2 linked regions of the Lonchura striata genome follow. The protein of the gene in region 2 interacts with the protein of the main gene of each other region in a biochemical or structural test. Links are inferred from orthologs where the notes say so. Each region holds a gene or a part of one and is shown on either strand. Other genes may lie near its edges.

Region 1 (3,743 bases), on a different chromosome or scaffold from region 2:
CCTGCCAGACTCTGTGCTGGGGTGGGATGGGGAGTGTCACTGCCAGAGTGGATATTTGGGAACTTCATAAAACTGGAAAAAGAAATGTTACATTTCCAAAAGTTTTCTCTAAATGCACTGAGGCAGTCAACTGTGGCAGCATCATCACATAAGAAAGGAGAAACAGTCCCTATTGGAAACTATTTTGTTATTTCTGATTTTCAGAGGACTGTCTAGTGTCTTGTTTGTATGTTCAGCCTGGCTCGGAGTCTATCACTGCTTTCCAGGGAAGACACGCTTTTGCACTTCCCTGTCACGCTACTCTCATTTGATCTCTGCATCTGGCAATTCACTTCTTCTCCCTTCAGTGTCCCCATCACTGCAGCCTCAGAGCTGGTGCACCCTGCTGCACAGAACCCAGCATCGCCTTGGGAGTCTCCAGGCGGTGTGACCCTTCCAGTCCATGCAGTGCCACCTCTTGGCCAGCCCCTGCTTTCCCCCAGCGGCAGTTGCCCAGCTCAGAGAAGCAGGACACACACTGCAGGTTCCAAAGCAGCTCTAGTTGTTGTTGGAGGCAAGAGCAGCTGGTGCACCGGTGCCCCTACATCCCCAGGCCCACGGTGCGTGGTCCAAAAGTGACAAAACTCGGGTGTGTCATGGTGTTCAACGCGGACAGCACCGTGGAGCCTGGTGGTGTTTGAGGGTTGATGCCTTCCCTGGGCAGAGCCCTTCCACGAGACCCCGGAGGTCTCCCAAGTTTCTCTGGGCCGTCTCTGCCCGGGATGCTCACGGGCTGCCCTCATCCAGGGCCGGACGAAGCCCTGGAGCCTCTCAGCCCCTGAGGCGCCTGCCCAGCCGGGGCTCTGCGGGAAGCCGAGCCCGAAGCCTCGGCCATGTGCCGGAGCTGTCCGGGGAGCTCAGCCCGTGCGCTCGGCAGCGTGCTGCGGCTCCCGGGGCTCGGTGCCTCCCCCAGCCGGCACCCCCGCGCTTCCCGGGCCGGCCCCGCAGCGGGTGCGGGGCCTGCGGCCGCGCCGGGCCCGCGTGCGGCCGCGCCGCCTCCCCGGGCCGGGCCGGGCCGGGCCCGCTCCGCCCCGCTCCGTCCCGGTCCCGCAGTACCGGGCGGGGGCGCGGGGGGCGCGGCTGAGCCGCCGTGCCGGGCTGGGAGGCAGCGGCGCAGGCGGAGCGGAGCGGAGCGGGGCTCGGCTCGCTGCTGCTGCTGCTGCTGCTGCTCTCGCTCCCCGCCGCCGCCAGCCGCCTGCGGCCGCGGCCATGGGCGTCCCGGGCCGCCCGCTTTGTGCCGCCGCTGCCCCTCCGGGCCGCCGCCGCCGCTGAGCCGCATGGGCCGGGCCCCGCGCCGCCCCGGGCCGCCGCCGCCGCTCCGCGCGGGTGAGTGAGGCGGCCCCGGCCCAGGCCCTGCGCCGAGGCCGCGCCGAGGCCGCCGCGGGCGGGAGCGCGGGGCCGCGCCGGGGCCGCCGAGCCGGGCTAGGCCGCCCCGGGCGCGGGGGGAGGCCGGGCGGGCCGGGAGGGGAGCGGGGCCGGGGGCGGCGGCGGGGGGGCGGCGCGGGCCGGGTCCCGCGAAGTTGCCCGGGGGGCGGCGGGGGCCCCGCGCGGTGCCCTGTCAGCGGCGGGGCCGCCCCGGAGCCCACCCGGCCCCGCGCCCGCCGCGGGTCCCCTCCGGAGCCGGCCGGGCGGCTCGGCCGGGCGCCTCGCGTGTCCTCCGGGAGCTTCCTGGGGCTGCCCCGGCCGGGGCGAGGAGCCAGCGCCGCCCCGCCGCAACAATGCCCGGCGTGGCTTTGGGGCTGCGGTGCCGCTGCCCCGGGCGTCCCCTTCACCCGGCCGGGGGTCACCGAGGACCTGCACCGCACACGGGGGGCGAGTCCCGCTCTCGCTTTCCAGGAGCGGGGTGAAAACCACCCAGAACCGCCCCGTGGTGCCAAAGCCCAGCCTCGTCCCGCGGTGCCGGGACAGGGGCTGCGTGCCGGGGGCTCGGGCCGGGCGTGAGCGCGGCGCTGGCTCCTGCCGCGCTCCTCGCGGGGCCCCGCCACCCTCGCTGGCCGCTCCTGGGCTCGCTGGGTTGTTTCACGATGCACAGGTGGGCTGTAAGGACAGGCACGGCATCGGCGGCGGTTCTTGGTTTAGCCAGGATCAGGAAATGGGGGGTCAATGGTAAAGCGTCCCAAAGATGTTCGTTGTTGTGGGGTTTGTTTTGAGAGGGAGGGCGAGCTAAAATGTGTCTTTCTTGCTGTGTTTTTACGTGCAATTGAGTTAACCCAGTGCAAGGAGTAATTTATGAGGCTGCTGGTGCTCTGCAGTACTTGGGGCTTAGAGGCTGAGGCTGTTCTGTTAACACAGGGCTTTTGCTACTTGCTTTAAACGATGAGGTTAATTTGTTGAGCAGCAGAAGTAGCAACCCAGGGATTGCCCTTTTCTTCCTTCCCTGCCTTCCCCATGCCTTCCATCCTCCATATTGACTCATTGCTCTTCTTTAAAAACACCGTACTTGATCAGGTTTCCTTGTCAAGGTGGTTTTCTCATCTTCCTTTGGTGACCTGAAATTTTCCCAGGCTCGTAGCATGCAATTCTCTTAGCGTAAATGAACCTTTTCTCAACGGCTTGCCTACAAAAAGCAGTGCTAGAACTGAGCTCCTGTACTAACATGCCCATCTGAAGCAAGAATGCAGTCCAGATGCCCAAAATATTAGGGTCAACGATGCATCTGGATTCCCCTAGAGCTAGACGAGGCGACGCGGCTTATTTCTGAAACGCAGAGATTTGTGAGGAATGTGGCGCTGGTATGTCACTTGAGCTACGAAAGCCACCTGTGTTTGATTAAGGTGCAGCCCTGCTTTCAGGACTAACTGGATGTTTTTTAATAATAATTTTCACAAGCCTTAAATTCCTGTTTAAGGGTAAGAATTTCCTAGATCCATAGCCAGATAAAAACATGTTGCCTTAGTGTGATCTGGTATACGTCCTGTCCAGGTAGGCAGTGCAGAAGAGCTGGTGGCAGTGCAGAAGGTGGCATGTGTCCTGTAGTACCTGAGTATGGATCTTTTGGATGTGGGCTGCCACATACCAGGGTCATGTATAAACCACCGTTGTTGGGAAATCTGCTGGTGTTTTAGCATAGCATCAGTTGTATCAGTGATGCTGAATTCTGGATATAAAATTTTGGGATGTTCTGTAAATGTGCTTGTTAGCCTCTGTCTGATTTGAGCTCAGTTCTGTGCTCTCAGAAGTTACCAAGCCATTGATCCTGTTGAAAAAGAGGTGTTAGTACATTAAAGGTGCAGAGCATAACCTCTAGTTTGTTGTCTTAGAGCGTTTATTTCCAGTGATACTCGCTTATTTTTTCCTTATTTGTTTCAGCCAAACAAACCTGTTTACCTTGGAGCTACAGATATTGGTGACTTGAGGTTAGCGCTCATCTCCCACTGTTCCCACGCAAGCAAGGACCAGAAAAATGAATATCCAGGGGAAAGGCTTCCCCTTGGACCTCGGAGGAAGCTTCACTGAAGATGCTCCAAGGCCACCGGTTCCTGGTGAGGAGGGGGAGCTCGTGTCCACAGACCCAAGGCCAGTTAGCCATGGTTTCTACTCTGGTAAAAGTGATGTGGTCAGAAATGAGACGTCCACGGCAACACCGAGGCGCTCCGATTTGGATTTGGGGTACGAGCCCGAGGGGAGTGCTTCGCCAACTCCACCCTACCTGAAGTGGGCTGAATCACTGCACTCCTTGCTGGATGACCAAGATGGCATCAATC
Region 2 (3,743 bases):
TTTTACCTTTGGCCCACAAAAGAGATCAAATCAACACACTGCATCACTGGCAGGTATACACTGCTTAAGATCAATTGCATTCAAACAACATGCTTGCTTACAGACCTTTCCAAAATGATGATCTCAAGATCTATGTAATAAGAAACGTGCCTAATGCTCTTACATGTCTAATCCACTGGCACCAGACAAGCAGCCATTTGAGATAAAGTAGGTATGGTATCTAAGGGAAGTCTTTAAATCTAGAAAAATGGATATGGGAATTTGTTAGATACAGTAACTTCATTTGCTATTTTCCTCATGCTACAACAAATCACCTTCCACTGCTATTACAGTAACATCTTAATAATACTATCAACTTTCAAAACCTTACCCCCTCAATTAAGTTTTGTCCATTTCTTCTCTAATCAGAGCAGACATTACCCGCTGCAGCTTCAGCACTACAGTTTGTACAGACACTGAAGTTACAACCTGAGATCTCAGAGTTTTAGGGGAAACAGCAAGATCTAACTTTAAGTTTGAATCCAAAAGTAGCAGAGCAGACTCAAGCTTTCCAAAACATTAAGAACTTCATAAGCACACATGCAGTTGGTACCAGAAGTAAGTTCAAGGTTCATCAAAATTAAGTCCATCTCCATACCCCAGAAATTTGCTGCGTTTTAAACTCCACTTGCTTAAGCCCCGTCTCAGCAGTAGAGCTCAGAGATCAAAGAAAGAAAAGGAAACAGCCCAGGACCAAAAGTTCCCTTAGGGGCATTGTCAAATACCTCTTGTACTTTGAAAATGAAAACAAACCCATACAGTCTCAGTGTGTGTTATCTAACTTATAAATTGTACAGCACTATTCAGAGTGCCAGGCAACACTGTGCCATAAAATGTTCATTTTGCTACTGATTTAAACATGACTTAGAGCTACATGCCAGCACTCAAACACTTATCACTCGATACAGACTTGTTAATTATCTTAATTTATGTGTACCAGTGCACCACAAAGCTCAAGCTAGATCTGTGCACTTCACTATGTAAGGTGCAGTTCTGTGACACCCTGGCACACCTCAGAGAGCTCTCAGACTGACCACAGATCTAGCAATTGTACAAGCCCTGACTTAGGAGTAATGATTTAAAAGACTGTCTTCATTTTACTTTTATAATGAATTTTGTGTGCCTCCAGTGAAGAATACACCCTGTAAGAAATATTTTTTTATGAACTGCAGTAATCTGTTACAGTTCCATTTGCCAAAAGGTAATATTTACTTCCAGTTAGTCTACACTGTTGGACCTTACTGCTAAACTGTTTTTATAACATTAGTTCTGATCACAATGACATCTCTTTTCTGCACAAATAAGTATATTTTTTCTTGGACACTAATCTAACTTATACCGTTCAGCTGTTCCACTTGATCCCTTTCCCCAGCCTACTCAGACCACAAGAGATGCAGACATCAACCAGCAACCATGCTGAAATGAGAGAAGTTACAAAGTACAAGGCATCAAGACTGAAGTACTTGTGCATCACAGGACTCTCTGAGCTGTTAGAACGCAGATGAAACCCATACTTCAAGTCAACTCTGTCCTGAATTTCAGTTTCCTGCTTCCTAAGTCCACTGCACAACTTTGCAGCAGCCCATGGATATCAAACACCGAGATCACTGTCCATACTCTTAGGTCTTAGAGTCTCTTTACGCTCCCAGGATCTCCTCTCCCACTGGTTTCACCCAAAGGAAGGGGATTTAACAACCAGCTCCCGACAGCCTGTAGCGAAACGCCGCTGGGGAAGAGCGTGTGCTCACACTCTTCCAGCTTAGGCTTGCCCACTCCCGAGTCACCGAGGCGCTGCCCGAAGCTATTCCAGGAGAGCCCTGCCTGTCCCGCTCGCTGTCACTGCCCCGGCCGGGCACGGGAGGCTCCGGTACCCACCGGCGGCGAAGTGGAGCGGCGTGGACTTGCGCCCCGCCATGTCCTTGGCGTTCACGTTGCCCGTGTCCACCAGGCGCTTCACGCGCGTCACGTCCCCATTCCTGCAGGCCTCCAGCAGCTCGCGGAACGCCCCGCTCGCCGCGCCCGGCCCCGCCGCTTCGGGACTCTCCGCCGCCGGGCTCGACGCCGCCGACGACGACGCGGACGAGGACGAGGAAGACGAGGAAGAGCCGCTGGAGCTGCTGCCCGAGCCCGGCGGCGGGACAGGCGCGGCGGCGCCCGACCCCTCCGCACACTCCGCGGCCGGGGGCCGGTCCGCGTCGGGGGGCGCCTCGCCCTCGGGGCCGGCCAGGCTGGGGCGCTGCGCGGCCGGTGCCAGGCTGGGGCTGCGCGGCGGCGAGGCGGCGGTGGGCGGCGGTGCGGCCGGGCCGGGCGGCGGGTGGTGGTGGTGATGGTGGTGCTGGGAGCGACGCGGCGGCACCGCCGCCATCTTCGCGCCGCTCCGCCCCTCCCGGCCCCGTCACTGCGGCAACGGCGCCGCCCCGCCCGCGCTTCCGCCCGTCCGCCAACCCCGAGCGCCGCGCACGGACGTGACGCCCGCGCGGGGCCCGCGGGGCGCGGCCGCACCGCCCCGGCACCGCCCCGGCACCGCCCCGGCACCGCCCCGGCGCCGCCCCGGCGCCGCCCCGGCGCCGCCCCGGCACCGCCCCGGCGCCGCCCCGGCACCGCCCCGGCACCGCCCCGGCACCGCCCCGGCACCGCCCCGGCACCGCCCCGCGCGGGGCGCGCCTGCCCCCTGCCGGCCGCGCGGGAGGGACGGGCGGAGCCCGGGGCGGGGCCGAGTCCGGGTGGGGCCGGCGCTGCCCGGGAGCCGCTGGGCCGGGAGAGGGGCGGGACGGCAACTCGTCAGGCGTGGCCTCGGAGGGGCGGGCGAGGGACGGCGTTCACCCGCGGAGCCCGCTGTAGGGGCGAGGCGCCCTTCTTCCGCCTGCACGGCGCGATCCGGCTGCGACACCGGAGTCTGAACAGCTGCTTCTGCACAGCCGCCGCTCGTGTCAAAACTACAGAAGGGCTTTGCAAGCTAATTGCAACACCCCATGGTCAGATCCAGGCTTTGTGAAGTACTTAAGAAGCATCGGTATGAACTTGTTCAGCTCACCGCCGGCTTTCCACAATTCATGTTTCACCATCCAGGTGCTTTTGTGGCATCAGTGATGTTATGTATAGTAAATATAATTCGCGCCATTCCTTGTATGAAATATGTAATATTGGATGCTTGTTAAATCATGCCCGTTGTATTAGTTCCTCCCCCCCTTCTCCAAATAAAAGAAAGGACTGATTGCTAAAACCTTGGCCTCAGGCAGAATTTTCCCTATAAAAACCGCCTATGCCAGGATGGAGGTGTGTGGGCATAGGAGAAAACCTCTGCTGAGGCTGACTCCTTGTTGCACACCCAGGGTCGATCCCGGGCTCGGCTCTGTCCTTTCCGTGTGGCTGACTAGATAGAATCTGACCGCAAATAAAATTATTTTTATTTTTAATCTGGCTGAATAAATTCTCATTTATAACAAGTGACAAACAAATCACATTCCTTTACTGGTCACGCCAGAGGTGGGTGGGTTACCCGGCCCCCATGGGTAGCCAGCGCTCACCTCCCTTCCCCTGCAGGCGATCCAGCCGGCAGCGTGGCTTCGTAGAATCACAGAATCGTGAATGTTAAGAGCTTGGAATGGACCTTAAAGATCATCTAGTCCCAACATCCCCTGCCATAGGCAGGGAACACCTCCCTCTAGACCAGGCCATTCAAGGCTTTATCCAACCTGGCTTTG

The links. The genes of interacting proteins can lie anywhere in the genome.
Region 1: the proteins of TNKS (region 2) and AXIN1 form a complex in vitro, tested with the Homo sapiens proteins (2 studies listed by BioGRID). The link is inferred for Lonchura striata from reciprocal best matches to the Homo sapiens genes TNKS and AXIN1.

The regions. Positions count from the first base shown.
Region 1 is NC_134618.1:4,334,925-4,338,667, reverse strand, and holds the start of AXIN1 (axin-1), read left to right. Parts: upstream 1-1,298; 5' UTR 1,299-1,365; intron 1,366-3,348; 5' UTR 3,349-3,442; coding exon 3,443-3,743. UniProt on the Homo sapiens protein: Component of the beta-catenin destruction complex required for regulating CTNNB1 levels through phosphorylation and ubiquitination, and modulating Wnt-signaling.
Region 2 is NC_134606.1:43,898,983-43,902,725, reverse strand, and holds the start of TNKS (poly [ADP-ribose] polymerase tankyrase-1), read right to left. Parts: upstream 2,414-3,743; 5' UTR 2,405-2,413; coding exon 1,915-2,404; intron 1-1,914.